Rhinolophus ferrumequinum: one gene and its partner. The protein of the gene in region 2 purifies or fractionates together with the protein of the main gene of each other region. This does not show direct contact. Links are inferred from orthologs where the notes say so. Each region holds a gene or a part of one and is shown on either strand. Other genes may lie near its edges. The genes, in order: DDX24 and TSPYL1.

Region 1 (14,815 bases), on a different chromosome or scaffold from region 2:
CAAAGGCAGCCCCTCCCCCTGTGCCTTGTCTTCCTCCAGTCGCCATCTCACGTTGATCCATTCCTTATGGCAAGGCTCCTTGCAATAGTTTTCTACATTGAGGGAGAGGCAGTATGGCACTGCGGTTAGGCACCCGATATACAAGGGAGAAGACCATGTGAAAATGGAGACAGGCTGGAGTGATGCAGCCACAAACCATGGAACATCAAGGATTTCTGGCAGCCACCAGAAGCTGGAAGAGGCATGGGATAGGTTCTCCCCTTGAGCCTTCAGAAGAAACATGGCCCTGTGGACACCTTGATTTTGGATTTCTAGACTCCAGAACTGTGGGAGAATAAATTTCTATTGTTTTAAGCTGCCCAGTTTGTTTACAGCTGGCCTCTGGAACACTTTCCTCACCTGGCCTTCAGGAAATTACCCTTTCTCACTTCCGTTCCTGCCACACTTGCCTCTCCTTCTCGGTCTCCTTTCATCTCCTCTCCCTGATCTCTGATGAACGCTGACATGTCTGGGGTTCAGTCCTCAGACCCCTTCTCTGCTTTAGGTCCATTCCTTGGGTAACTTCACCCAACCACGTGGCTTTCAGGACCATCTGTATTCTGACGACTTGCAAATTGATACGTCCAGCCCAGACCTACTCAGCATGTCCACTGAGGTATCTGAGAAGCACCTCAAACATAACATGTCAAAAGCTGGACTATTATTTCCCTCCCAAAGCTGTTCCTCCAACGGCCATCCAGGCTCAGTGAAACACAGTCCCATTCTTTCAGCAGCTCCGGACAAGCAGCCAGGAGTCGATTTTTCCTAGTTACCCTCTCTCCACACCAATCTATCAGCAAATCCTACTGTATCACCTTCAAAAATATCCAGTCTGACCATTCTTTATACCTCTGCCTCTGCCATGATGGGCCAAGCCACCCACATCTCTCCCAAGGATTACTGCAATAATCCCCTGCCTCTGCTCTGGCTCCTGAGTTTCCATTCAGCCCGGAGCTGTTCTCTCAGCAGCCAAAACCTAGAAGTCATCCTACACTCCTCTCATTTTATCTCACTCCACATCCAGTCTGTTAGCAATTCCTGCTGATTTCACCTTTCATACGTGTCCAGAATCTGATCACTCCTAATGCCTGCACCATTGCCACCCTAGTCAATTCACCTCTTCCCGTCCACAATCAGGGACATGGACCCCACACAGCATGAGACGTATCTTGTTGGCTGCTGGGGTACAGGGAGCAGCTATGGTGTTGAAACCCCTGCACGCTCCCTGTGGCCCACAAACACCCACCTCTTTAACGAGGATGAGGGGGCTGGCTTCTGCTTTTCTCCTCAAGCTCACTGCTATGCTTCTGTCCTAGGAAACGAATAGAAGCCATTCCCTGCCCTTTGGGATGCCAAATCCAGGCAGATTTCCAGGACTCTTTTCTGCCACAGAATCTCCCACAAGGTAAGGCCGTTCTCCGTCTCCTCTGCTGGATTTTGAACTAAGGTCAAGGGCCAAGCCTCAGTCACTGCTGCCTACCCCAGTGGCAGGCACAGGCCTCTGAGCAAGAAGGTGCTGATTATTTCAGAAAAAGAAGTATGGATCAAGAGTATACCTCTGTGCATTAAGGGACCTGCTATGGTCTGAAATTTTGTGTTCTCAAAATGAGTATGTTGACATCTAATGCCCAAGATGATGGAGTTAGAAGTAGGGCCTCTGGGAGGTGAGTAGCTCATGAGGACACAGCCCTCATGATAGGGATTAGTGCTCTTATAAAAGAGGCTCCAGAGAGGCCCCCTCATTCCTTCCACCACGTGAGGTTCCAGAGCAAAGATGCCTATTAGAAAACAGGCTCTTTCACCAGACACTAATCTGCCTGTATCTTGATCGTAGCCTTTCCACCCTCCAGAACTGTGAAAACTAAATTTCTGCTGTTTATTAGCCACCAGTGTATGGCACTTTGTTATAGCAGCCCAAACGGACTAGGAGAGGAGACAATCAACAGAGCGCAAAGGCAAGCTACAGAATGGGAGAAAACATTTGCAAATCATATGTCTGATAAGGGTTATTAATCACAATATATAACAAATTCCTACCACAAAATACTCAAATAACTCAATTTAAAAATGGGCAAAGAGACCAAAGAATAAAGAAAAAAAACAAACAAAAACCCAGAAAACAACAAATAAAAAAAAGAAAGAAAAATGGGCAAAGAATTCAAATAGACATTTCTCCAAAGAAGATATAGAAATGGCCAATAAACATGAAAAGACGCTCAAAAGCCCTAATCATTAGGGAAAAACAAATCAAAATCACAATGAGGTATCATTTCATGCACATTAGTACGGATACTATAAAAAAAAAAACAGATAATAACAAGTGTTGGCTAGGATGTGGAAAAACCGGAACTCTTATGCACTGATGGTAGGAATACAAAATGATGCAGCAGCATGGAAAACAGTACAGCAGTTTCTCAAAAAATTAAAAATAGAATACTATATATCCGGCAAACCCACTTCTGGATATATTCCTAAAGGAATTGAAAGCAGGGTCTTAAAGCGATACCTACACCCCCGTTCACAGCAGCATTATTCATAATAGCCAAGAGGTGGAAGCAAATCAAGGGTCCAAAGACGGATGAACGGATAAACAAGATGTGGTATCCACATACAATGGACTATTATTCAGTCTTAAAGAGGAAGGAAATTCTGAACCTTGGAGACATTGTGCTAAGTGAAATAAACCAGTCACAAAAAGATACATGCTGTAAGATTCCGTAGAAAAAAAGGGATTCCGTGGAAAAAAATCTCATGCGGTGACCTGATCACACATTCCTAACTGGGCAGGTCATGGTGGGTAGTCACACCCAGGCCTATAACTTTTTAGTAAAAGGCTTATTTTTGTCTTAAGCAAGCGCTGTTCATTGTTTCTATGCATCTCGGTTAACAGACCTTTGAAATAACCACCCTCCAGAGATCTTGTCAACTACCCTGTAATCCAATCCCCGCCTTGCTATCTCCCACCTCCATGTAATTGTCCTTATGGCCCTTCCTTAATCTCAAATGTATAAAAGAAGCTGCAAAACTTATTCTCTAGAGCAGGGATGTCAAACTTTTTTCAACGTTTTTTACCAAGGGCGGTAAAATACACAAACAGCTTGAGGTGAAGTACGTATTGCCTCACCTGGTTTATTTAAGCAAACTCAATATATTTTTGGAATTTGCTGGGGGCCAATTAAAAATGGATTGCGGGCTGCAGTTGGCCCGCGGGCCGCAGTTTGGACACCCCTGCTCTAGAGCATTTGAGATTTTGCTCCCTAGCATATGTCGTCGGTTTGACTCAAACAAACTCTTATAAAAAGTCTCTACAGGTTTGGACGTTTCTTATGTCAACACCACTTATAAGAGGTCCCCAGTGGAGTCAAATTCATAGAGACAGAAAGTAGAATGGCGGTTGCCAGGGGCTGGGTGGGGGAGGACGGAATGGAGAGGTCTTGTTTAATGTGTAGAGTTCGTTTCTGTGAGATGAAGAGTTCTGGAGGTTGGTCGCACAATAAGGCAAATATACCTCCTAACACTACAGGACTGTACACTTCTAAGTGGTCAAGTTGGTAAATGTTATTTTGTCACAATTAAAAAAAAAATAGAGTGCACCTTTTCCTGCCCCGTTCCTGGGCTGGCCCCACCCTAGAGACGAGACTGCTCCGTAAGGGCTTATCATCAGAGTAAATGAGCAACCAGGCCCTGGGGCATCAAGGAGGAACAGGACTGGAGAAACGAAACTCACTCAGGCCTTGGGTGCTGTGGGCCAACAGGTCAGGGCAGTGACAGGGAACTTGAACGGGCAAAGAGCGGGGCCTGAGCATGAGCCTGCTAGCTGCCCAGGAGCCTAAGGCCAGTGTGACTGGGCTCTGTACCACTTAATTGATGTGACCTGGCACTGGGGGACCTCGGAGAGTGACATACCCCTATCCCTGCACTTTGGAACAAACCGATCAAGGCCCAGAGAGGGCTCATGACTGGTTCTGGGTTACCCAGCAAGTCAGCAGCAGAGCCAGGGCCTGAAGTGTAGTCCCTCTGACTCTAGAGCTTCATGTACGTCATCTCCCGTGTACACCGCGCCCCTCTTCTGACAATGTGGGTGTAGTAGAGGGTCCATCGGGGACTGGTACGTGAATGCTGACAACTTAGAAGACTGAGCTGAGCAGTGAGGGTGAGGTGACGTCTGGTGGACTGGTGCCCAGGGACCAGTTACCTGCAGTGCGGGAGAAATTCCTGCCTCCATCTTTGGGTGGTGGGTCTGTGGAGTCAGAGCCATGTCCATCTGGCCCCGGAGGGGGCCCCTGTGGTGGCCTCCCAGGAGTAGAACCAGCAGAGGATGACTGGGGGGATTCATCTTCCTCTGGAAAAGAAGCGGGGTGGGGGCACAGAGAGGGGGCGGGTAGCTGTGAGACCAGAGGTCGAGGCCCCCGGGCCCCGAGGAGGGCAGAGGCCCAGAGGCCCCACAAAGCACCTTCTGACATTTCCTGATGCTCGCGAGAACTCCGATGTGGGAATGGGACATCAGTGACAGCAGTGCTGAGGTAATAGGAACATTTGGAGATGAACCCAGGTACAAAACAGAGAGAGGGAGACCTGACCACCAACTGAGAGCGGGCAGGTCCCTCACTTCACCAAGGGGTAGGCTGAGGCCCAAGATGGAAGAGACTTCCTCAGATACAATGCACCTTAGTAGCAGCTCCAGGCTAGAACCCAGACCTCCTCTGCCTAGGGCCATGGCCCCCAGGCCCTGGGCCACCTTACCTTCCAGAGCTTCCCTGAGAGCACTCACCATCTGACTGAAACTCCTGCAGGAGGGCATCAGCAGCAAGTCCTTCATTCTCTATGGCTTTAGCTGACATCTCAGAGGCAGTGTGAGCACACTAGGTACACAGCCTAGAGTTACCACTATTTTTCCCAGAAAGGGTGTGTGAAAACCAGAAGAGCTGTGCCTGATTTGTGATGGATTGTGGTATGGATGGGGACACCTCTCCATTGCCCTGAGCCCTGGCCCCTCTGTCCTATAGCAGTCTGTGGGCCACTCCCAGCACCCCCCCCCCCAAATCTGCACAGACTGCAGCTTTTTCAGTTAAGGACTTTGGCTCCCTGATCTCCAGGATTCTATTCATCTCTAATATGTCACCTCTGTCCCCTGACTATTGCCCCATACCCAGCCTAAGTCTTAGGGCTTGACAAAATCCTGGGTTGGGACAAGCCCGGTTGCTCCCAAAGTCGCGGGGTAAATGTGGGCTCAAACCCCTTCCCAGCACACTCACCTCTAGTCACAGTGACAGCAGCTCTGAATGGCAGCAAAGAGGGATGCTATGAGTGGAGTCCTGGTGCTCCCTCCCTTCCCCATTTCCCGGGCCCCTGCCTACCTTGAGGTAATTGCAGTTTTGGAAATCCTGTGTGTAGTATGGCTCCTGATGACTCCAGCAGGCATATATAGTTCCACCCTGGATGACGTCCCACCCACGTGGCAAATGAGACAAATGAATCATTCTTAATCTAGGCTGGTAGACCTAACCTTTGCCTTGCAAATGTGAGGATTGGGGGAGTGTGGGCTGGTCTACAGGATAATCTAATCTCAACACATCCCAATGCACCATATATAATACTCAGTTTCTCTAATCCTCTAATGGTGGCCGCCTGGTTTGCATGGCAACAGGAGAAAGCTTGGGTTAAGTCAGAGGAGATGTCCACACAAACCAAGGCATATTTAGAACCCTCACCCACAGGGAGAGAGCTAATATAATCAATTTGCTAATTTTGCATTGGTTGGGAATTCTGGTGGATGGCCGCAGACTCCTTTGGTAGTTGCCTTGGGAGTTGTTTAGAACACAGAGGACGTGCTGCTACTGCATTAACCAAGTCACTGTATTTCAAGGGCAATCTGGCAACCCTGGCAATGTGCCCCCCACCCAGGCAATGCAATGGCCACTCTATATATTCAATGTGCTATATTTACTGAAGGGTTAGTTGCTAGCGCTCGTCTCTGAGCTAGGGCATCAGCTTCCTGATTGCCAGGCAGTGTCAGTGCTTTATGAGCCAAGACATGGAAAACAGTAAGGACCCAAATGTCTTTCCACGTATCGTGATCCCACAAAGGCTTATTCATAGTCATCTATCCCTCTGTTTCCCATTGTCCAAGCCACAGGGTTAATCCCTTTAGAACAGCCCAACTGTCAGTGCAAAAGGTTAATGAATGACCAGGGCTCCCCCTCCAAGGTGTGTAACTGGCCCAGAGGAGACAGGAACATTTAACCTGCCATGAGGGGGGTCATGCGGCCCTTCCTTCTCACTCTCCCATTGAGGACTGCTCCGTTCCCGTTATCAGATTTCTTCAGGCACCACTTGGGCACAGGCTCTATGCTACCCAGACTCTTGGGGACACACTGTCAAGTTGCCCCAAGAAATGTGTTAAGCTCTGTCCCATGGTGGCTCCAAGCTGGTGGGGAGGCTCACTAGATCTGCACTTGGTGAATTCCCCCATTGTCCTTTAGGACTTTCCAAGGTCACCAAGCAGTCTATGAGAAAGGTTCCCCAGATGGTCCCGCGACACCCACATGAAAAGGTGATTATCTATTGTAAAGCTAATTTCTCTGCATGTAACAAAGCAGCCAGTTTAGCTTGGTGATTAAAGCCTGGGCTTTAAAGTCAGGCGGACCTACCCTAACCATCATTGAGCAATAGGAGAGGCATGAAAAAATTGCGGAAAATGGCACCTCCAACATAGGCTGGTTGGGTTGTAAATTAAATGCTGAAATTTTGCAAGGCCCCAGGCATACAGTAGGTTTAACACGTCGACAGTCACTGCACTAAAACTAGACCAAGAACACAAGAATGCTTACGTTTCCGTGCGTGAACTAGCGTAGAGCCCTTCTGGATGTAGCACAGAGCCTTCCCCCTGCTGCGTAATCCAGGGAGGGCCATCGCCGGCGAAGCCAGATTTACTGCCCCCAGGGCGGTGCACTACCGCACTGCACAAGTCCGCGGTCGAGCGGCAGCGAATCAGGTGGCGGCGTCTAGAGTGGGGGCGGGACATCCTGCCGCACCGCGCCCGCGTGCGCGAGTATAAGCCCCGCCCCGGAACTGCGGTCGGCGCTGCAGCCGAGGAAGAGCTGTGGCGTTTTGTAAGGCGGTTGTCCTGCCGGCGTCTGTGGGAGCCGTAGCGGCGTGTGCTCACTGTGAGTACCGGTGCTGGAGCGGGGGCCTGGGGCCGGTACCCGAAAGGAGCTGGGGGCGGGCTCCTCGGCGCCCATGTCGGGCCTCTTCAGCTCACTGGGTTCTCAAGTCCAGAGAGGCGGCTGCCGGCCCGGTCAAGCAGCCTGTCGACCCTGCGCCGGGTCCCCTTCTGTGGGTCTCGGGGCTCGGAGGCCTCGTCTTTCCCGCTCCGTGCGCCTGTTTATGCGTGAGCGGAGGCGCTAGGGCCAGTCACAGGGCTGGACGCTGCGAGCAGGGGCCCCGCTTGCTCTGCAGGTCGCGCTCTGCAGGTCGCCCTCCGCGTCCCGCCCATGTGCGTGACCATCCCCAGTGCCTCTCATCACTGAACTCCAGTCGTTGGTACTTGGGGCGGTGAGGTTCGCTGGGTGAACCTTCCTGCGTGCCGGCGTGCTCAGCCTGCGAGGCGCCATGCTGAGCGGTTTTTGACGTGCGTCACCTTTTTGTATTAGCGTAAGCGTGCCCGGAGACAGAGCCTCATCACCTGCGTTTTACAGACGAGGACACAGGCGCAGAGAAATCAGTACATTCGCCACAGACTCAGAGTTGGCGAGTGATGGGCCGGCTTTGAACGACGGTTCGTTCACCTTTGTCTTTCTCACAGGGTCTGTTATTTTTCTTAACCTTTCTGAAAGGGGAGAACAAGGATCCAGTTCCACTCGAACTGTGCTACTGCTGAAATGGTTTTTAAATCACTTACAATGTAATGAAAAAGCTGTACGGGATGGATGGGCTTTAAGCCATTTGGCAAAGGCCAGAATGGTGGCGCAGGCATTTAGATGTTCTTGGGGCAAGACTTGAGGAGGAGAAAGCTCTGTTCACTTTGGATAAAGCTGGCCTCCTCAGCCGCCCTCAACGCCCACCCCTGAAAAAAAAAACAAAAAAAAACCCAAATTCTCACTCTGCCTTCCATGTGGCTTGGGTATCGCAGCCTTTATCCTCCATGCTTTCCATAATTTTATTTATTTTTCTAAAACATTTTGTGACTTAGGTATTATTAGGCCCCTCCTTCTCTCAAAGAGATGAGAACACTGAGGTTCAAAGAGGATTAAGCAGGGTTTCCCAAGGGAACACAAGCAGTTAAGTATTGGATATGGAATTCAAACCCCATCTAGCTCATAAGTCTTTGCTCTCTATTCTGTTCGAGGCCAAGCTATCTGATTTGTGGGTGTATTTCTTTCCTTTTTTGATCTTCTCTAGCTGGGAGCATCAGCTCTAGCTGGGAGCATCAGTGTTCAGAGCCATCTTTGCAGGGTCTGATATCCTGTAGGCTGCTTAGAAAATACTTGTTGCGTCAGAATCCAATGCTTTTCAGTTGCCAGTCTAATCGAACACCTCTCTCCTTTTCAGCAACCATGAAGTTGAAGGACACCAAATCAAGGTCAAAGGCACCAAGCTATGGCAAATTTCAGACAAAGGGAATTAAGGTTGTGGGAAAATGGAAGCAGGTGAAGATTGACCCAAATATGTTTGCAGATGGACAGATGGATGACCTGGTGTGCTTTGAGGAACTGACAGATTACCAGTTGGTCTCTCCTGCCAAGAATTCCTCCAGTCTCTTCTCAAAGGAGGAGCCCAAGAAGAGAAAGGCACAAGCTGTTTCAGAAGGAGAGGAGGAAGGAGATTCTAGCTCCTCAAAGAAAAAGATAAAGTTGAAAAAGAGTAAAAATGTGGAAACTGAAGGAACCAATGCCCAGAAAGACTTTCAGGTCAAAGATGCTGAGCCAGAGCCCCTGGGAGATGGTACAGTTTGTTCTGATCCAGAGATAGGGGAGATGGCATCAGAAAGCCCAGCCCAGGCTATTCCAAAAAAGAAGAAAAAGCAAGGGAAAAAAAAATCAGAACCTTCTCAGGGTAGTACTCCAAACGTGCCGAAGAAAGCAAAGACGTGGATACCTGAAGTGCATGACCACAAGGCAGACATATCAGCTTGGAAGGACCTGTTTGTACCCAAGCCAGTTCTCCGAGCACTCAGCTTTCTGGGCTTCTCTGCACCCACACCAATCCAAGCTCTGACCTTGGCACCTGCCATCCGTGACAAACTGGACATCCTTGGTGCTGCTGAGACAGGTAAGGGCACCCTTATCTGGCCAGGGCAAGATTGCTTCTGGATTGAGCCTGTGGCTGCTAACAGGCTGGATGGCTGGGGAGAGAGGCCGAAGCAATGGTAAATGAAGGTGTTTTAGAAGCCAGCCAGCTCTGGGTTGAAATCTGCCATTTCCTAATTGGTACCCTAGGCAGGTCACTTTATCTCTGTGTGTCGTATAGGCACTATTATGAAATGGAGATAACAATACCTACTTCTTTTGCTGTGTCGGTTAAATGTAAATGCTACAGCAAACTGAAATTTCCACAGTACATTGTGAGTGATCTGCAAATGGTTTTCTTCCTGTTCTTGGGCCTTTTTTAAATGGCTCAGAGGGGTAAACCAGGGCTAAGATCAGCCCTCTGGAGAGGTAGATCTTCATTAGTATAAGGAATAAGTGTCCAACTCTCAACTGTTGTCCGAAGATAAAAAGGGCTGCTTTGGGAGTTGGTGAGTTTATTGTCATTGGAAGGATTTGAATGTGTGATAAATAACTATTGGGTGGATTTTGTAGGCAGATTTGGGCATCAGGTGATTGTTGGGACTAGGCATTGTTTAAAGTTCCCTTATTCCCTGGGCCATCTAAGACTTTGTGAAGCAAGACAGGTTGAGTCTCCCTGGGTGGACTAAACTGCTGACTAGGGGGAGTGGCTTGTACTGCCTGGAACTATTAGTCCAGCTAGACCAGCAGTAACTAATAGAAATGTATATTTCAGTGCCAGTGAGCCACAGATGTAATTTTAAATTTCCTAGGAGCTGTATTAGAAAGGTGAAAAGTAATAGGTGAAAATTAATTTTTACAATGTATTTAACCAATTATATAAAATATTTCAATATGTAATTAATGTAAAATTACATTCTTTACATTCTTTTATACTAAGTTTTAAAAATCTCATGTATTTTGAACTTAACAGCACCTCTCAATTTAGAGTAACCACATTTTAAGTGCTCAATAGCTATATGTGGCTAATGGCTACTACTTGTATGGCATAGGACTAAACCATCTGGACACTTGGTGCCTTGGGTTTCTAGAAGAGTGGTCAGGAAACTTGGGGTGAGATCGTACATGAGAGTCACAGAGATGGAAGAGTCAGGAAACTCCAAGAAAGGGGAATGGAGGTAATAATAACAACTTAGAACATTTACTTAGCATTTAAAATGCATCATGCGCCGTGTTAAGTGCATTATATTGATGAACTCAGTTCTCAGCCCCCCTGAGGTGGATTCTATTATTATTCCCATCTTACTGATGTGGAAACTCTGGCTCACGGAGGATAGGCAGCATCCCTGAAACTGCACAGCTGAAAGTCGTAGTGCCGGGTCGTTAAGCATTCTGCTACACTGCTTTGATATGTGCAGAAGCCTGGAGGTAGGTTCTGGAAGGCGGAGGCAAGGCTGTGTGAGCCACTGTGGCTAGAATCTGACCTTGGGATTCGTACCACAGCTCCTGTCAGGCCTCCGCATGGATTGTTGTGAGTGTGCAGGTCCAAGGTTCAAAAAGACTTGGGGCTGTGGACGAACTGCTGCCCATGTAGATAATAAATATACCCCTGACCCGCACAGGATGCTTTCAGCCCCTTCGTAATCTTTCTTTCCCTGGCCTCTCTCCTTTTCGTCCTCAGGCAACCTCTGATAGATTTTCCTATCACGATTGTCCTGCGGGGGGGCCTGCGGGGTCTCTGCTCCCGCTCCCCACACAAGAACGCAGGACATGGTGAGGCCAAACAGGAACACCCACGGAGCCATAGGTAGGGGAGTCACACCACTATACTCTCGCTGGCGGCTGGGTTGGAGACACAGGGACCAGGAGCCACACAATTCTCAACCCTCACTGCGCCGCTTGCAGACTCAGCCACCATCTTCTTGCTAGGCCCCACTTGCTGCTAGCGTAGCCACGGCAGTTATATTCGTGGCCAATGGCTCACTGGTTACAGCTGACGGCCAACTAGCCACAGCTGATGGCCATTTGATCACAGTTGATGGCCATTTACTACCTGAGCCAGCACCTTTCTATGTGAGGCCGAGAGCCTGGAAACTGCTTTTTGGGGCTCTGTCCCCACAACGGTAGATTACATTTTCCAGAATTTTATATATTGGAATCATATGTATTTTGGGAATATAGGTATCTGTTCTTTCGATCGGCATAACTTTGAGGTTCAACCATGTTATTGAAAATACCAGTACAGTAAGTCTTCACTTAATGTCTGTTAATATTTTTCCTCTTCTTCTGCCTTCTTTTGGATTAAATATTTTTTGTGATATCATTTTATCTATTTATATTGTGTTGTTAGCTATAACTCTTTGTTATGTCCTTGTAGTAGTTGCTTTTGAGTTCACAGTATATATGTTTCATGTGTCATATTCTACCTTCGAGTGATAATGTACTATTTTACATGTAGTGCGAGAACCTTACAAGAGTATGTTTCCGTTTATCCTCTCCTCTGGGCTTTTTGTTTTATACTTTATGTGTTAGAAATCCCAAAATACATTTTTATTGTTTTTGCTTTAAGTGGTAACTAGGAAAAACACATCTTTTGTATTTACCCATGTTACCATTTCTGGTACTCTTTATTCCTTTTTGTTGATCCAAATTTTCATCTGACTCCATCATTTCTTTTGCATGAAAGACTTCCTTTAGTATTTCCGCCCCCTTCCACGTCCCCCCCAACTCCAGTTCAAGCCGTTGTTTCTCAGTCTAGTTGTGTAGGACACAGCTCCCTGGCCCATGCTGGTGTTATGAGCTTTGCGCTCCCCCCGGCTCAGGCAGTTGGTCGCCAGTCGTCGGTCAGTGCTCACAGCAGCTCACAGCAGCTCTCGCCGGCTGCCGGCCGCTCACGCTGGCCACAGGTCGCTCATGGCAGCACACAGCAGCCCGCGGCAGCTCACGCCAACCTCCAGCTGCTCAAGGCAGCCCAGCTCCAGGGAGAGTTGTTCACAATCTTAGCTGTAGAGAGTGCAGCTCACTGGCCCATGTGGGAATCGAACTTGCAACCTTGGTGATAGGTACACAGTGCTCCAACCACCTGAGCCACCGTGCTGGCCCCTCCTTTAATATTTCTTATAGTCCAGGTCTACTGGCAATAAATTATTTCAGCTTTGTACACCTAAAAAAGTTTTTATTTCGCATTTGTTTTCAAAAAGATTTTTGCTGAGTGTAGAATTCTAGATTATCAATTATTTTTTTCAGTTCTCCAAATACAGATGTTGTTACACTGTCTTCTAAGCTTTCATTGTTTCTGATGAAAAGTGCTGTTTTTTCTTATCTGAAGTTTTATGGGTCTGTTTTTGCTCTCCTTTTTTCTTACAGTTCTTGCTTATAGTACCTTGTTTCCTTAGGAGTTATTTTTTACTGAGAGCTGCTCATTTTCCTCTGAGAATTCTTCGAGGCCTATGATAAAGGTTTCTTCCTCCAGAGATCATTTATTTGCTTCTGCTTAGGACGTTAGAACTACTTTAAAGTCTCAGCTTGAGGTGTTTTGTTTTGTTTGTTTGTTTGTTTGTTTTGAGCACCCCGATGTCGTGAATTTGGACTCCATATACATTCAAAGGTCAGGTTGAAAATGTTCAAGCATAGACAAAAGCATGCTAATTTAAAATTTTTTCCTCAAAAACTAAGAAAAGAATTTTTTTTACTCCTTCCCCACCAAAGAAAGGTCTTGGTAAAATACTATACAGATTTCCATTCCCCGCCCACCATGTGTTCCTTAGCAGCCTCTCTCTCTCTCTCTCTCTCTCTCTCTCTCTCTCTCTCTCTCTCTCTCTCTCTCTCTCTCTCTCTCTCTCCCTCTCTCCCTCCCTCCCTCCCTCCCTCTCTCCCTCCCTCTCTCTCTCTCTCTCTCTCTCTCTCTCTCCCTCTCTCCCTCCCTCCCTCCCTCCCTCCCTCCCTCCCTCCCTCCCTCTCTCTCTCTCTCTCTCTCTCTCTCTCTCTCTCTCTCTCACACACAAACACAACTTGCCCATCTCTTTAGTGTTTCATTGTTTGGACATGAATTCAGTGCCAGCCGTTTCCTCAGGCTCCTCCTAATTATAGGTGCAGTGCTGTAAGGGAACCTGTGCAGGGTGAAGGAGCTTTGGGTTGGTCAAAGTGGTTCTTGGCTCTTTGAAGGGTCCCTTATTCTGCATAAAACAACCCAGACGAAAGTATGTGCATCTGTTGATTTGGTTGTTCCCCCTCCCCCCGTTTGTTTTACTTCTAAGGAAGTGGGAAAACTCTTGCCTTTGCCATTCCAATGATTCATTCAGTGCTGCAATGGCAGATGAAGAAGAAGCCTCCCCCAGCTCTGAGTAACACAGGCGCATCACCTGGCGAGACCAGAATTGAGGCTGAAGCTGAGACTGGGTCACCAAGCAAGGCTGAAACTGACTCTGGAGCTTTGTCAGATGAGATTAGAATCGAGAGTGAAGCACTGCCCAGTGAGGCTGGAACGAAGGCTAGAGCACCACCCAGCAAGGCAACAGCCAAGACTGGAGCTGCCATCTCAGACCAGTTGCTCCCCTTCTGTGATGATGATGCTGGTGAAGGACCTTCTTCCCTGATTAGGGAGAAGCCTGTCCCCAAACAGGAAGAGGACAAAGAGGAAAAACTTGATGAAGAGCAGACTGGAAAGTTAAAACGAGAGTTAGGTGGCAAAACTGCCACCTGTAAAGCACATCCAGAGCGTCCTCTGCTTGGACTGGTTCTGACTCCCACTCGAGAGCTAGCCGTCCAGGTCAAACAACACATTGATGCTGTGGCCAAGTTTACAGGTGAGGTTTGGTTCCATTTAATAAATATTTCCTGAGAGGATCCTAAATGCTGGGGTGGCAAAGGTGAATGAGCTGCAGCTCCTGCCCCTACGGGAAACCTTTCTCATCTGTCACAGAATTAAAAACCCTACTGAAAATTGAGCGGCGCTTTCTCAGTTCTCCTAAGAATGACACATAGCTAATGCCATTCTGAATGCTTAGGAACTTAGTTAATTTATTGGCTACAATGGATGCTGTGGCAGGGGTTGGCAAACCACCTGTTTTTGTAAGTAAAGTACAGCCATTTGTTTACATATTGTCTATGGAAGCTGTTGTGTGACCAAGGCAGAGTGGACTAGAATTAAAAGTAGTTAAGCCCACGAAGCCAAAAATGTTTAGTGGACTCTTTAGGAAAACGTTTGTCAACCTCTGCCTTGGGGCATTTAAACTTACTTCTCTCAGGGAATTCCTTTGGGGCAGAGCATCCCAGTGGGTATTTTAATTATAAAAGCAGCAATTACTTACCAAACTTACTGTGTGCAGGGCACTTTGCTAAGCACTTTGCCTACCTGATTCTGTGTGTTTCTTTCACACTGGATGCCTGACAAGTCCTCCACGAGACAGAACAGAACACGAGGCATTAGAGGAGATTCAGGGTAATTCTGATTGAGGGGAATGAGCACCCTAGGGGAGGTGTGTCGCAGCTACAAGGAACGTTACTGCCAGCGTCGTGCTGCTCCACTCTCAGTTTTTCCGGAGCTTTGA
Region 2 (15,456 bases):
GTGTGCTGCGAGCCTACTATATCCCTGGCCCTTTGCAATAGCTGGATTTTATAAGGGGGTAGATTTCTGAGTAAATGTAACACAACTGGGAAGGAAGTGGGTATTCCCTCACTTAAGGCGTCCAAGGAAAGTTTATGTATGATTCTCAAACCTGTCTGCACCTTAGGGTCTAATTTAATTGGTTTGGGGTGAGCCTAGGCGTCAAGATTTTTTCAAAGCTCCCAGCTATTTATAATGGGCAGTCAGGTTTGACAAATATTAGGCCAGATTGCTACTTGTCTGAATGTAAATTAAATGAGAAATTAAAATTGAGAGGAAGATAAATAGGAATATTGATTACATATTACATACCAGGAATTGTGCTTGGCCTTTTGCACTCTAATCTTTATTAACTATGTTAATACTTGGACTCTTTTAGCAGTGGCACATAGTAAGCTCCCAAAGATTTTTTATCATTGTTACCCTCTCTACAACCTTATAATACATTCTCCAAATACAATCTGGGAGAATGTTAGCTTTATAATACAGGTGTTATATCATCTCTGCATTATGGACAAGGAAACTGAGGCTCAGAGAAGGTCTTTGTTTAGGCTAATGCACTAGGAGGTTGATTCCAAAACTGTGATTTAATCCTAATTTAAAGGTAATGTGTCTTCCCTGTCTCTTCGGGCCACTAAGAAGACATTTAGGTATTTATAAAAATTATTAATAGCTTACTTAAGTGACCCTTTTCATTTTTAATAGGACCATTTCTTTCTGGCCTGTTCTCAAGGAAATTACATTCAATACAAATCCTGAAAAAATGAATCTAAAAAGCAGACATTTGGTTTTCCTAATGTGGCCTGATGGAAACTTCCGTAGGTCTTGAGAACCTCTAAGGTCAAAGGTAATGGATCAATGTAGCCCTTTGGAGCTGAAACAAAGCACTTCAATCAAACATGGGAAGTACTGCTCACAAGTGAAACACTTCCCATACTAATGGATAAAGATTATATGTTACTTCTATACAGTCTAGGACTTCAATTATATATTAACATTGAAGAAGTTGGCCCTGAAGGAAATGTCCTGATCATCTCTGACACCTCCTCTTGACCACATAAATCCCGTTTTCTTGTGTGTGTAACTGGTTTAGGTATGTGAGTATGCTAGAGAAGAAGAAACATCAAGGAATGGATACTCCCTCGATGAGACACTGAGTTCTTTGAGGGCAAGGAAAATCTTTACTATCTCATATAATCCTTAATATAGTATCCAATACAAAATAAGTAATAAATGCTGCAAGGTGCAATTGCTACACTAATTTTCAAAAAAAAATATGCTTCAAATGGTGGGTATTGAATTGACTTAATGGCAGTGATAGATTCAGATTTTTGTTTTCTGTCACTGGCCAATTGCTAAAATTTGTAGCCTATGTAACATATACTAAATAGTACATCAGCATAATTTTAATACAGTGTTTTCCTATACATTTTTGGCACCTTCTGTATTTAATGACTGAAATTATTGTCTTAGCTTTATGTATTCCTGTAAACCAAAAAGTACACATTTTATTCTCGAAAGATATGAAACTAGAGGTCCTAAATGTCGCTAGAGACTTATTAATCAATATAACTATCAGTGCCAATTTGGCACCCAGATCTACCTTGTTTATATCCAGAAGCATAGTTTTACACAGTACATTTTAGAAAGTACTGAGTATATCTTAGGTAGTCGAGAAGAAATTGATTAAAGACATTTCATTTTACCCTTTTTACCCACTGGCTTCTGGCTGTACTTTACCCATTGTGAATTTTGGCTAGATACCCTTGTCATAAAGTCACAAAAAATTTCATGGGGAGAAAGTAATAGCATGTTTAAATTTTACAGATATTTTTATATGCTTTGAGATATTCATCAAGAAGTCTAGAACCATGCTGTCCTATGTAATTTTAAATTTACTAGTAGCCACATTAAAAAAATGGATAAATAGGGAAAATTAATTCTAGTAATATATTTCATTTAACCCAATATATCAAAAATATTATTTCAATATGCAATCCATATAAAAATTGAGGTATTTTACATCCTTCTTTCCATACGAAGTCTTTGAAATCTAGTGTGTATTTTATATACTTACAGCAGATCTCAATTTGCACTGGTCACATTTCAAGTGCTCAATAGCCACTGGTGTAAGTCAGTGTAATAGTCCAGTGTAATAGTCACTACCTTAAGATGTACAAAAACAAATCACTTAAAAGTTGATCCAAAGTTAATGCTCTGTTAACATGGCAAGTAAAAGATGAAATGTTATATAGTGTTTGGACTTTTTCTAATTACTTAAACAAGAAATTTGTTTTTATTTAAGAAAGATTGCAAATTTTTTGCAAAGTTTTTACAAATTGTTTAAATTTAAAAAAACTTTTTTTTTGCAATTTTACAAATGCCTTGAAAACCGTTTTCTTCTTTTCATTACCTCATCAAAAGTCTTTCTGGGTACTGTGTTATTTTGTTTTTTCTCCATTTGAATTGTTCATTTTGTCATTCACTAAATATTTATCTGGTGACAACTATGTGCAAAACATTAAGCTAGATGTAGTAAAGAATGTAAAAATATCCCCCATCTTCTGCTTTCACAAAACTTCGTTTGAAACTAGAGTGAAAAACATAAGAAAGTATATCTTTGTATTTTATTTTACTGTGTCACTCTGTGTCAATTATTTGTTTGCCTATCAGTTTTTCCCCAGTTCTTTAACAATAAATGTAATGAACTTTATCTTCTTATACTTTTATCTTCCTGGGGCCTGGCAGAATACCTTCATATTCATGAAATTCACTGTAATAAATTACTATGTGTTATTTTCTAGAACAGAGGTTCACCAAGTACAGAAAACTTTACAAAGTACACCAAGTACATAATTTTTTTTTTTATCTTCCCTAAGGGGAAGAGAAAAACAATAAAGCAGAAAAGATATTTATGACAGGGCTTGAAGGATTTGACACAGAGATGGTGGTGAGGCTTGAAGAACAGAACAAGTTTTTAAAGCTGAGAAAGTATAGGATACAAGAATACATCACTTATGACAGGAACTCTCTGAATGTGAGCTTATTAAGTGCACAAGTGACTAAAAAGAGCCTGAATGACCTGAGGATATCTACACACATAGAAATGGAAGCTTTAAGGAAGTGAAAGGGGTGGTGATGCTGAACAAACTATGTGGAAAAAAGTGACATTATGAGTTTATGAGTGAGCTATTGCAGTTGTTGATATTTTAAAGCAAAAAAAAAAAAAAAGGCAACAACCCTCCCTACCTTGCAAGGTACAGTAGTGTGCTCTATTTTTTTTTTTTTTTTTACTTTTGGGAAAATGCTTGTTGTATCGATTTAAGAGCTTTACTAAATTCCATAATCTGTTATTTTCAATAATTTCTTTAAGCAAGTTTGTTGGCAGGGTGAAAAATGAGAAGTCTAACAGAGCAACATGCTTTTATTTTACCATCATGCATATAAGGAAAGACAAATATGCCAATGGTACACTTCCAATTTGACAGAGCAATCTCATAAGCATTTATGCTATTTAGGAAAAAAGAAACATCAATTACTAAATTGTTACCAGGGCAGATTATCAAGTAGGTTAATCAAACCACATATTTTCTGTAGGTTATTGTTCCATGAAGACAATTTCCAAAGTCTTCAGAATCTGACAATACCAAGTTATTCATATTTCTACGAATACAGTTTTGACAGAAACAAGAAAAAATTGAAAATCATTATGAATATTCATTTAAGTCTATCGTACTGGAAAGTCTGTTATTTTTCCAAATGTCCCCAATTGAAAGGAAAGAAAGCCTGTACAGCTCCACTTTCCCAGTAAGCAGAAACAGAGAAAATACAGGATTTTACTAAATACTAGTGAAATAAAGGACACAGTATTAATCTTCTGCATAAATTAAGTCAAACGAAAATAAGAGCAAGCACCCAAAGTTGTGTTAGTTTCTTTGAAAAACTCTTCTCTTGGCAACGTATTTAACACTCCAAGCCCCTTTAATTCTCCCATGGAAATCCTGAGAAAAAGTATTTCTCCTCCCATCACCACCAACAGAGAAAGAACCTTTCCTTGAAGGTTCTCAGCCAGCCACTCTGAATTTTAGGCCCAATTTTTACCTGGCTCATTTTTGCCTACGGTCTGTTGTTCAGTTTCCCCTGCTTAGGGCACTCCTCACAATCTCGTTAGTTCTTCCATCCATATGAACTAGGTATCACTTTTCATCCCATCTAGATCTGCCTCCCTTTAAGTCCTCTAAGTGTTGGAGGGGCCGGGGGCGGGAGAGAGAGCAGAGGGAAATAAGAGCTCTGGCAGTATATTTTACAGGAACTGTTGTCCCTGGAAATGATGGAAAAAGCCAATTTTTAATTGTTTTTTAATAGACAGGAGATAAACAGAAAATGTACTGATACTCTGACAGTCATGTTCAGGATGAGGAAAGGAGGCACCAAGAGGTACCTAGGTTTTGTGTGAATTCACTAGTTGAGGCTGAGAAAGCCTGGACACCATCCTTACTCGTCATGAGGTCAAGGTCTAACGTGACACCTCAACCACTTGCCTGACAGTAGGGTTCCTCAAGGGAAGAGGGGTGAAGAATTGAGAAGTCTTTCGGGTAGAGGAATGGAAGGGCTGGAAGGGAAACCTGTGCTGGCAGGAAACTTGGTCCACCACCAGTTCTGAAGATTCGGTTTACCAGAAACCAGACAGAGGAGCTGACAATGGTCTGGAAGATTTTCATTCAGTAGGGAGCAGCCAAAGGGGTTGGCACAGCTAGAAGCATGCAGCACTACATGACCAGAGGTGCAAGAAGAGCAATGGAGTCACGTAAATCACAAAGACCAAGTGACCCACTGCTGCTCTCCCTTGACATTAATGCCCCGCAATTGTCCACAGACTATCTACCTGCACTGCAGAGCAAAGTGGGTAGGATGGGCGCCTAGAAAAAGCTAGAATTATAGGTGGTAAGAGCCAGACCAGAGGCCCCGGGAACAACTAGCATCCAAGCAGTGCTGATAAAGGCAGTGCAATTGAGAGCATCATTCACTTGGCTGAGCAGTAGTGTGAATCATGGCCATGCAGCATGCGAGAGTAATGCAGAACAGTTTGAAGGCTGTGGAGAAGCATGGCCATGAAGGTCTCAATCTTGAGGTTGAGAGAACTAAATGTCCAGAGGAAAAAGCTTGCAGAAATGCCGGCGGGGAAAAAAGGTAGAAGGCATACCCATTTCTGTCACCCAAGCACAGGTCCAGCAAGAGGTGACAGGGGACCTTGTGCAAGAGTAGTCCCAAGGGCAAAGTTTAACCAGACTGGAACCCAAAGGGCCTGGGGATCTCCACTGGCTCCCTTATTGGGCGACGTCTGGCTCTACGGGCTCCTTCACGCAATAGGTAATACTGCAGTGGATTTGGCCATAGGTCCTCTTTAATAATCTCAGCAATCTTGTCAGACTCTGGAAGGCTGTGGTCTGAAAACCAGGTGAAGAAACTGCAAACGACATCTTGGTTCCTGCGAATGAAGGACTGGGGTTCGTGGCCCCGACGCCATATGATTGGCGTGGAAAGAGATACCACTCGGCCAGAGGCTCTGACCTCATATTCCTTGACAATCAGCTTGTTTCTGAAGTAGGGGTTTCTTCGAAAGAAGAACTTGAACTTGCAGCCAGTTCTCGGGTGTCTGAGTTCCTTCACCTCCAAATTGGTTATGTATCTTAACATCTCTGCATCTTGGCCCCTAATCATGGGGGACAACTGGGGATGGTTCCGAAAGGCAGTGACCCAGAAGCCCGGGATATTCTGGATGATGTAGTTCCTCCGCTCCAGATAGTGTCGACGCATCCGTCCAAATTTATGCTCCAGCTGCTGAAAGGCCCTGTCAGCCTGGGCATTGACAGTGTCCAGTTCCAGCTGGATGGCCTCCAGAGGGTTCATGCGGAGATCCATACTCAGGGGCCGCCGCGCTGCCTCCTCCGGCACCTCCGCCACCACTCTGTTTTCCTTCCCCACGTCTATGTCTTCACCTACCGGCTTCTCCTCTACCTCCATCTCCTCCTCCACTACGCCCTCCTCCTTCACTCCCGTCTCCTTCACCACCTCCTCATCCACTGATACTGAGAAGATGGTGTTCACTTCAGCCTTCCCTTCCTCGGCCTTCATCTCCGCCATCACCTCAGCCTCCAACCTCTCTGCGCCACAGGTTTCTAGGGCCTTCTCCGCACCTGGGCCACTCGGCTCTCCACGCTGACAGCCATTGTTCAGGCTGCGGTCCGTTGCCATGGACACAGACAAGGCTTCCGGGCCCAAGACCGGGGGCGGAGCTGCTTCTTTCCCCGCTTTGGTCGCTCGGTAACCGCAATCCCCACCAACTCCGATCTGGGGAGAATGGCCACAGCCCGCGGGGTCGTAGGGGGCTCCCCGCTCCTCTGGAAGCTGGGCCTGCGGGAGCACGCTGGCCTCCAAGCTTCCCTCACCCGTCTCCGCCATCACCTGTGACGCCTCGGTTTCCTCGCGGGGCTTCAGGCACTGGTGTGGGTCCGGGTCTCCTGGGGCACGGCCGGGAGGAGTGGGGCTGCGGGTCAGGAGGAGACCGGTCTTTTCGACCCCCTCCGGGCCGCTCATGTTGGTAGCAACCAGGCCAACGGTAGGTTAACGTCCGCTTTCCTCACAGAAACCCAGCTCGGCGAACACCGGTCGCTAGCACCACCCACCCTCTGGAGTCGCCCGCGTCTCCGTGAGGGTGACGTCAGTGCCGTTAATCTCACCGTAACGCGAGATTTCGCTGCCGCCGGGATTGGCTCCGCTGTTGCCTGCAGTCCCCGAGTGTTCTGTTAGTTTTACTTGTATGAATTGCTTCGCGGGGACAGAAAATTTGATTTATGTAAATAAATGTAGATTGGACTCAGAGTCCGAAGGCAGTGAGGACCCTCACTGCGAAGCGTCTGGAAACTGCCTCCAGCATATAAACTCGGATAGTTGTAGGGGTCACAGTACTACAGTGCAGACTTGCATAAAAACATGTTTTTCTGGTTTTCAGTATTTTTTTAGGCAGGAAGGTAAATCTATTCCCTGTTACTCCATAATGTCCAGGAGCAAAAATCTTCTCTATTTTTTTTTTTTAACGAAGATGAATTGCAAATTGTTTCCCTTTTCTCAAATAGAAGTGACATGAAAATATCGATTACAGCCTGTAACGTCATTGAGAGAAAAAGCTACTCAGCGGCTTTTTACCACTAAAGTGAGGCATATTATTCCTTGCTAGTACTAAATTTATAATCTGTATCAAAGAAGAGCTTGTGCTACATAATGTCTGCAGGAATTAATATAGGATCAATTTGCTACATTTTGCTCCATAGCCCCTTGCTGTGGGAAATAGAAAAGCTTTATTTCCGGCCCCAAAAACTATTGATCTATTAACAAACTTAGTTCTGCAAGGAGGTAGGAAAAGTTGGCTGTAATGAAGTGTATATTCATGGCAATCAGCTCATAGAGTTCATGGAAGAGTTATGTCAGTGTCTCCAGTTGACTTGCAAGGAAAGCGGGGTTAGCGAGTTACAAGGCCTCAGAGAAATACCGGTTGGCGGGAGCCACCTGCCACCATTTTATAAAGAAAAGCCACTTAAAATGGGTAACCAAATAATCATGAAGTAAAAAACAAAAGTGCATTTAGTTGACTTAAAGTGTAAAAGAGGCAAACTTTTTTTTTTTTTCTATTTGCTTTGCCTTGTGTGGTAGACTGAATAATGGCCCCCGGAGATGTCCACCTCCTAATCTTCAGAAACTTGAATATATTATCTTACGTGGTAAAAGGGACTTTGTAGTTATGATTAGCTTAAAGATCTAAGATTATCCTGGATTATCTGGGTTGACCTTATAAGAAGGAGGCTGGCGTACAAGTCTAAAAAGAGATGATCACCAAAGCAGAGATGAGAGAGAGAGAGAGAGATTTGAAGATGCTATGCTGCTGCCTTTAATAATGGCGGAAGGAACCAGGATCCAAGGCAAAAATGCAGCCTCTACATTCTGGAAAGGTAAGGAAGTAGATTCTCCCAAAGAGCCTCCAAAAAAATGCAGCCCTGGCAACACCTTGACCTTATGATGCCTAACCTTCAGCTCCATAGGATAATTAATTTGTGTAGGTTTAAGTTATGAAGCTTGTGGTAATTTGTTACAGAGCAATATGAAATGAGTACTTCTTGGGTTGAGCTTTTGTGTTGCATTTATGTGTACCTCAAGTTTTTCCTAGCAGCACCCCTTCACTCTTGCCCATTGCTTCCTCTGAGGTCCTGCCCAACAGCTTGATTTATCATGTTTTGAGTCTGTTTTTGGTTATCGAGATCAGAAATCTACTTAGACAATACACAGATAAAATTAAAGCCAAAACCCACCACAAAAGTGGGTTTTGAGAAGACCCCAAACTCCAGGAGGACAGGGCCTTGTTTTTGTTTACCACTGTTCACCAAGTGCCTGGCATGCGGCCTTGCACGGTGTTGCATAGATTATTAAAATGGTAAATAAAGGAACAAGTGAACAGCATGCAGTTTCTTCTGCCTCAGCTTGGTGCTTGCAGAAGTAAGGAGCACGCAGATTGTCATCCTGCTTTTCTCCCTATCTGCCACCAGGAAACCAGAGGACTGCTCTGCTATCTGCAGGAAGGAAGCCCTAGTCAAATGAATTTCTACATATGCATCAAAGCCTATGAAAGCATAAAACAAAAAAACAAAAAACAGGAAAAATTTTGTTTTACAAATAATTTACATTTATGTGACCACACCATATGACAAACTCTGAAAGGCTGACATATTTAGGTGAATTTACATGGTAAAGCCTCAAACTACCAACACTGTATTTCCAATTCTTCTCTCCTTTCTGAACAAGCCAACGTAATGGATCCAGGCTTTACTTCATTTCTCTTTGCAAGAAATGGATATAGATCCTGTGATGCATGGCTGAAATTATTTAATATAGATAAGAATAAATAATGGAATTGCTTCTGAGGCCCACTTCTTTCTAATTGCCATGAAATAATTTATCCTAAATCTTAGAACTGGAGTAATTTAATTTGGGCTAAAGTGGAAACTTTTATTACTCTAATATGCCTTCTATTTGTAAGCAGAAAACAGTGCCAGTCTTTGACCAATCCTAGAAGATGTGGCTTTATTTGTCACAGTCACCATTATGATGTCTGTAAGCATAATTAGTGCTCTAACTGGTAATGTTAGAAAAGACTCCAGTGATAGATGGTACATGTAAATGTAATCAGGACTCTGGTGAGCGTAATTTCCCAGGTAGTGTTGAGACACTTCTTTCTCTTGTCCTTCTCTTACTAGATAATTTAATTGAATATATACAGAAAATGAGGAAACTTATTTCTTCCAATTTTCATTATCTGAAAATCACAGTAGATTATAACTCTTCATTATAGATGATGGATAGCCTAGGTTATGATCACTTTTGAATAAGTGATCACTTTTAAATAAGAGAAGGGCCAGCAAGAACCAAGGATTTAGAGGGAAAAGCAGATATGTGTTTTCTATGCTATTTCTTTTTTTAAAGAACAAATTTTTGCTTTTAAGAAGGAACCCTATAGAATTTCAGCCTGCATCAAGTCTCATGTGCTCAAAGAGCTGTTTTGCCATGCAGGGCAAAAATATGATTGCCACAGAAATTTGTACTTGTAATAGTAGGGCCATTACTTGTGGAAGTTTTCCTGAACCTGAAGTCTTGAATGTGCATCTCTTTCACATGACACAGGTTATCCTGCTATCTGAAACATTCTCTTTTTAGGCAGATACCATTCTCTAAGACCCCACCACAAACCTATATCGCTTTAGAATGTGCTTGGCATTTAACATGCATTAAAGTGTCAAATTTTTCAAAAGACGAAACAATAACTCTGAGAAGTTAACCAGGTCATCCATATAATAGCTGCTACATTCCCCCAGCCTTCTCCTAGGCATAACAACTCATTAATCTTCCTCTTCTGAATTCCTACAACTCTTTTATGAGCTGTGCCATGCAATTTAGTGCTTAATTATAGTCTTCCTCTTAGTGACTCTGATTTTTCATATATTTCAGTGTCATCATCCCAGCATCTTCCCAAGGGATAAGAGTACAGTGCTTCTTCTTTTGTATTTACTCAGCATAGCCTGGAGCTGAGATTTTGGTAGATCCTTAATGATATTTGTTGATCTGAAAAAAATAAAGTCTTAAATGATCTTACAAAAACCAATAGTGTGTCTATATTGGCATAGCATTTTACTTGGTGGGAGAATATATTTTGGCTATACTTCATATATTACCCTTTTGCACTTTGAAATGAAAGATACATTAGTATATTACACAGCATTTCTGTGGCAATTGGCAATAAACCTCATTACCCAAAAGATAGTCTAATCTTTTCTAAGATGATTTTATGAGAAAACATTCACAAAACCATGAAGTTATTCTCCACCATGTCAAGAAATCATAGATTCTTCAGGAATAATTGCTCAGGTAGTAAGGAGTTTAGCAGAAGTTCAGACAATTTTGTTTTGCAGAAAGATATATTTTATGGTTATAATTAATGATAGATTTCATGTATTTACTGCTTCTGATGTACCAATCACTGTTGTAAATTGTTCCAAGTATTGTATCATTTAGTTCTCATGAGAACTTTGAGGTAATGCTACTATGACCTTCATTTTACTCATCAGGGAACTGAGGCAAAGAAAGAATTAGACACTTACTCAAAATGATATACAAAAATGACACATTTGAAATCCAGCTAGTTTGGCTCAAGAACTCATGCTTTCTGTACAAAATGAAGTCACTGTCTTAAAATAGCATAAAACTATCCTCACTTAATGTTAAATTAATACACATTTTTTTTGCCGCCTCTCCCATTCTATCCACAAGCATATTAATATTTGTTAGGAAAAGTGCCCAAGGATTTGCTTTCTGTTTAGAGGAAAAACATTTACTCATGATCCCTAAATTCAGTATTTTCTAAACCCTATCAGACCCAATGTCATCTTTTTATAATAGATATTTTCTAAAACAGTCTTTACTTTCTTGAAATGAAATTCATAGATAAAACAACCACCTATACACATAAATAGAAAAACATCAATATAATGACTTGATTCTGATATAACAGAGAAATAAAAGTAATTTATAACAGTGTCTGTTTTAATATGTAAGGGCATTAACATACCTACACTATAAGAAATAACAGAGTAGTTAGAAAGTTACACCTGTTGGTATAATCACCAAGACTGACAGGTAGGTTTTACTTGTGGCTCAGATACCATGACTAGCATTACTCTTAGTGATGAGATTTTCTGAATTGGTGACCAAATCTTGGTTAAGTTTTAGAAAAGAAAAAGGAAAAGTTCTCATCAATTGCCACGACTCTATTTCTTCCTTTGTAAGAAATACATTTTCTAGTTTGATGTAATGCTACATGTTTATTTTTTCTCTTACTTCCCTTTCCTGAGGGGATATATCAGTAAAAATCTTATTCCGGGTAATGTCTGTTAACTTTCTTCCCATATTTTCTTCTAGGAGTTTTATGGTTTCAGATCTTACATTTAAATCTTTAATCCATTTTGAATTTATTCTCGTATATGGTGTAAGGAGGTGGTTCAGCTTCATTTTTTTGCATGTGTCTGTCCAAGTTTCCCAGCACCATTTATTGAATAGACTGTCGTTACCCCACCATAAATTCTTGCTTCCATTGTCGTAGATTAAATGACCATATAGGCATGGATTTATTTTGGGCTCTCTATTCTGTCCCATTGATATATGTGTCTGTTTTTATGCCAATACCATGCTGTTTTGATTACTGTAGCCTTGTAGTATAATTTGTTATCAGGTATCGTGATACCTCCCACTTTGTTCTTATTTCTCAAGATTGCCGAGGCTATCCGGGGTCTTTTATGGTTCCATATAAATTTTAGGATTATATGTTCTATTTCTGTGAAACATGTCTTTGGTAGTTTGATAGGAATTGTGTTGAATCTCTGTATTGCCTTAGGCAGTATGGACATTTTAATGATATTAATTCTTCCTATCCATGAGCATGGTATGTGTTTCCATCTATTTGTATCTTCTTTAATTTCTCTCTTCAGTGTCTTATAATTTTCTGAGTACAGATCTTTGATAACTGCACTGTACACCTGAAGCTGAAGCTGAACAATAATCAATGTCAGCTATAATTATATATATATATATATATATATATATATAGTTGCAAGAAGTAGAGTACAACATTAGGAATAGAGACAGTGGAAATGTAATGGCTGTATGCGATGTCAAAGGGGTAGTGGATTGGGGGAGGGGGTTATCACTGTGTGAGGGATATAAATGATGAATGTCTAACTATTACATTATTTTGTACACCTGAAACTAACAAAAAAATAAATAAAAAAGAAATTAAAAAAATAAAAAAAGAAATTAAAAAAAAAAAGAAATAGGGGCTGGCCCGGTGGCTCGGGCGGTTGGAGCTCCGTGCTCCTAACTCCAGAAGGCTGCCGGTTCGATTCCCACAGCCAGTTCAACTCCTCGACTCCCGCAAGGGATGGTCGGCAGCTCCCCCTGCAACTAAGCTTGAACATGGCACTTTGAGCTGAGCTGCCGCTGAGCTCCCGGATGGCTCAGTTGGTTGGAGCACTCCTCTCAGCCACAAGGTTGCCGGTTTCGACTCCGCAAGGGATGGTGGGCTGCGCCCCCTGCAACTAGCAATGGCAACTGGACCTGGAGCTGAGCTGCGCCCTCCACAACTAAGACTGAAAGGACAACAACTTGACTTGGAAAAAAAGTCCTGGAAGTATACACTGTTCCCCCAATAAAGCCCTGTTCCCCTTCCCCAATAAAATTCTTAAAAAAAAAAAAATTTTTTTCATTTTCACATTTCTGAAATCAGAATGTCTTTCAAGCACTGTCAGCCAGGTGTTAGTCATGACATGTTTGTTGAGCACATGTGATCTGGGTTATTGTTACCGATTTCATTTCTGGACAAACTGTTTAAAGACCATCTGAAGAAGGGATATAACTACCGGTTGTTGTCTGAAAACTTTCCATTGATGTCTTTGAAAGGCTCAAAAAGTACCATCATCAAAACATGTAATTGGTGTCAGTGGGTTTGAAGAAAATTCTAGATACAAGAGTTGAGCACTGTGTTAAGAAATATAGCATCATCAAAATACTTGATAGCAAAGAGAAAAATACTATTTGAAAAAACATGAATATTGACAACTCTGAGTCAAAAACTGTTTCTGAAAATTTACTGGATATGAAGAAGTTTTGGAAATACTTAAAAAATTATTTTCCTTTTGTTTTTTCCCCTTAAGTATGTGCAAGTGTGCTATTTGATTTACGTCTAAATAAGTGTACAAGAGCTCTTTAAATAAAGATAAATAAAATTATGTATAAGAATGCCTTGTGTCATAGTTTAATTGGCAATTTCCTTTTTTTTTCTTGGTAATATTTAAGTAATACTATGTTTACAACTGATGATGTCTTAAATTAGATGAAATTCATATAGTTTCTTTCCTGGAAAATTCATTGTGTAGTAAAAGAGTGCAAACATATTGTGTTTTTATATGTAAAATTATGTTACATTCCAAGCTCAGATAAATAAAAGTAGGTTTTTCCTCTCAGAAGTGGGGCAAGTTTTTGTTGATACGGACTTCCTGCATAATATCTAGCATCCGAAACCCCATCTCGTGAAAGCCAATACTTGGTGAGTATGGTATTCCCAGCGATTTTCACTAGAGGGAGCAAGCGGTCTAAGAAAGTAATATGTCTAGTCTGATGGAAGAACTTTGGAATCGTCTTTCACTATAAATGAAATACTCGTATAATTTAAATTAAATCACAATCTTTTATTCCCACTAAGCTGTAATTGTTAAAAAGTAGTTTTCTCAAACAGGTTTAGGTTTGTTATGACGGCTTCCAATAATCAAATCAGGCCAAAGTATCTCAAATGACCCTGCACAATCTGACAAGGTGTCTGCCTGTGTAGACTGGAGTCGTAGACCTGGTTTCAAGTTTGAGCTATGCCATTTATTACCTGTTTGACCTGAGGAAGTCATATCATCCCTCCGAGCCACAATTTCCTCAAAGGTATAATATAATAGAGATTATAATACATACTTGACAGGCCTATTAAGAAGATGAAATAAGATATGTGTAAAGTGTTTAGCACTATAAACTTTCAATGAGTAGAAGCTGGTAGTATTATTTATATTGTTTTATGCTAAAACATACATTAAAATTAAACTATTGTACAAGGTATAGTCAGGCACTATATTTAATTATAAAACAGTTAAGTGTTTGGGAGTTCAGAGGAAGACATCCATGTGGATTAGAGTGGTCAGCGAAAGCTTCATGGAAGAAACGAGCCTTGACTTGTATCCTACTATGGGTAAGAGTTGAATAGCTTGAGAAATGGGTGGGGCATGAAGACACAGCAGTCATACTTCTCCACTGCTCCTGCTATTTTAAGACACATTCTAGACCTGCACTATCCAATATAACCACATGTGGCTATTTAAACTAAAGTAAATGAAATGAAAATTTCAGTTCATCAGTCACACTGACCACATTTCAAGTGCTCAGTAGCAGCATCTGGCTAGTGGCTACTGTGGACAGCATACATTTCATCGTGGCAGAACGTTCTACGAGACAATGCCGTTCTAGACATAATAGTATCTTCAGGTGGTGGGTAAAAGGGAACTTGCTAGAACTAAAATGCCGTACCACAGACATAGCAGGCCATTATTAATAAGGGTAGTAAGGGAAAATTTTACTTAATTAAAATTAGTGTTTTCAGTTAGCATTTCTTGAGCAAAAATTGTGTGTTTATAATTGGGAATAAGTACACTAGAAGTACTTATCTACTGGCTCACATAATATCAAAAGAATAATTCAAATGTTATTTTTTTACTATAAAAATTATAGATTTAAAATAATTTTCAAATGTTTCTGAGCCATTACCCCTCAGAGAGAAGCAGCTAAATGAGTCAAGTTTGAGAAGTGTTAGTTGAAAAATTGTGTAATTACATTAGTCATTTAAATAATCAATGAAATCTATGCTTACTGGGACAAACCTCTACTGTATTTTTAGTAAGGTAAAATAATTTAAAATAAAATGAAAATAAAGTATGTGAAACAATTAATGAAAATGATTACATAAATTTTTAAAAGTCAGTGTGAATCATAGTGATTTGTTTGGTACAATACCAAAAATTAACAGTCAAGCCATTTAGTAAACTTGATTTTTATATTTGAAAGCATCTCAACATCCTAAGGTTAAGAAATTTCATACAAGAGCAAATGTTTCTTTGCGTTTTCTAGATAGTATGATGTTTAGATGAGTAGTAGATAAACCCTTTAACAGTATTCCTGTGAAATTTGTGTTTTCACTGTTCATTAAAAATCCAGAGCTTGTATATAATT

Evidence for each region.
Region 1: the proteins of TSPYL1 (region 2) and DDX24 purify together in Homo sapiens (affinity purification with mass spectrometry; 3 studies listed by BioGRID and IntAct, counting the BioPlex papers as one, with this or other methods). This does not show direct contact. The link is inferred for Rhinolophus ferrumequinum from reciprocal best matches to the Homo sapiens genes TSPYL1 and DDX24.

The regions. Positions count from the first base shown.
Region 1 is NC_046289.1:9,012,092-9,026,906, forward strand, and holds the start of DDX24 (ATP-dependent RNA helicase DDX24), read left to right. Parts: upstream 1-7,062; 5' UTR 7,063-7,205; intron 7,206-8,589; 5' UTR 8,590-8,594; coding exon 8,595-9,309; intron 9,310-13,522; coding exon 13,523-14,071; intron 14,072-14,815. Other genes in the region: interferon alpha-inducible protein 27-like protein 2, read right to left, coding at 4,235-4,381, 5,397-5,474, 6,870-6,951. UniProt on the Homo sapiens protein: ATP-dependent RNA helicase that plays a role in various aspects of RNA metabolism including pre-mRNA splicing and is thereby involved in different biological processes such as cell cycle regulation or innate immunity.
Region 2 is NC_046286.1:67,195,842-67,211,297, forward strand, and holds TSPYL1 (testis-specific Y-encoded-like protein 1), read right to left. Parts: upstream 6,746-15,456; 5' UTR 6,637-6,745; coding exon 5,320-6,636; 3' UTR 3,444-5,319; downstream 1-3,443.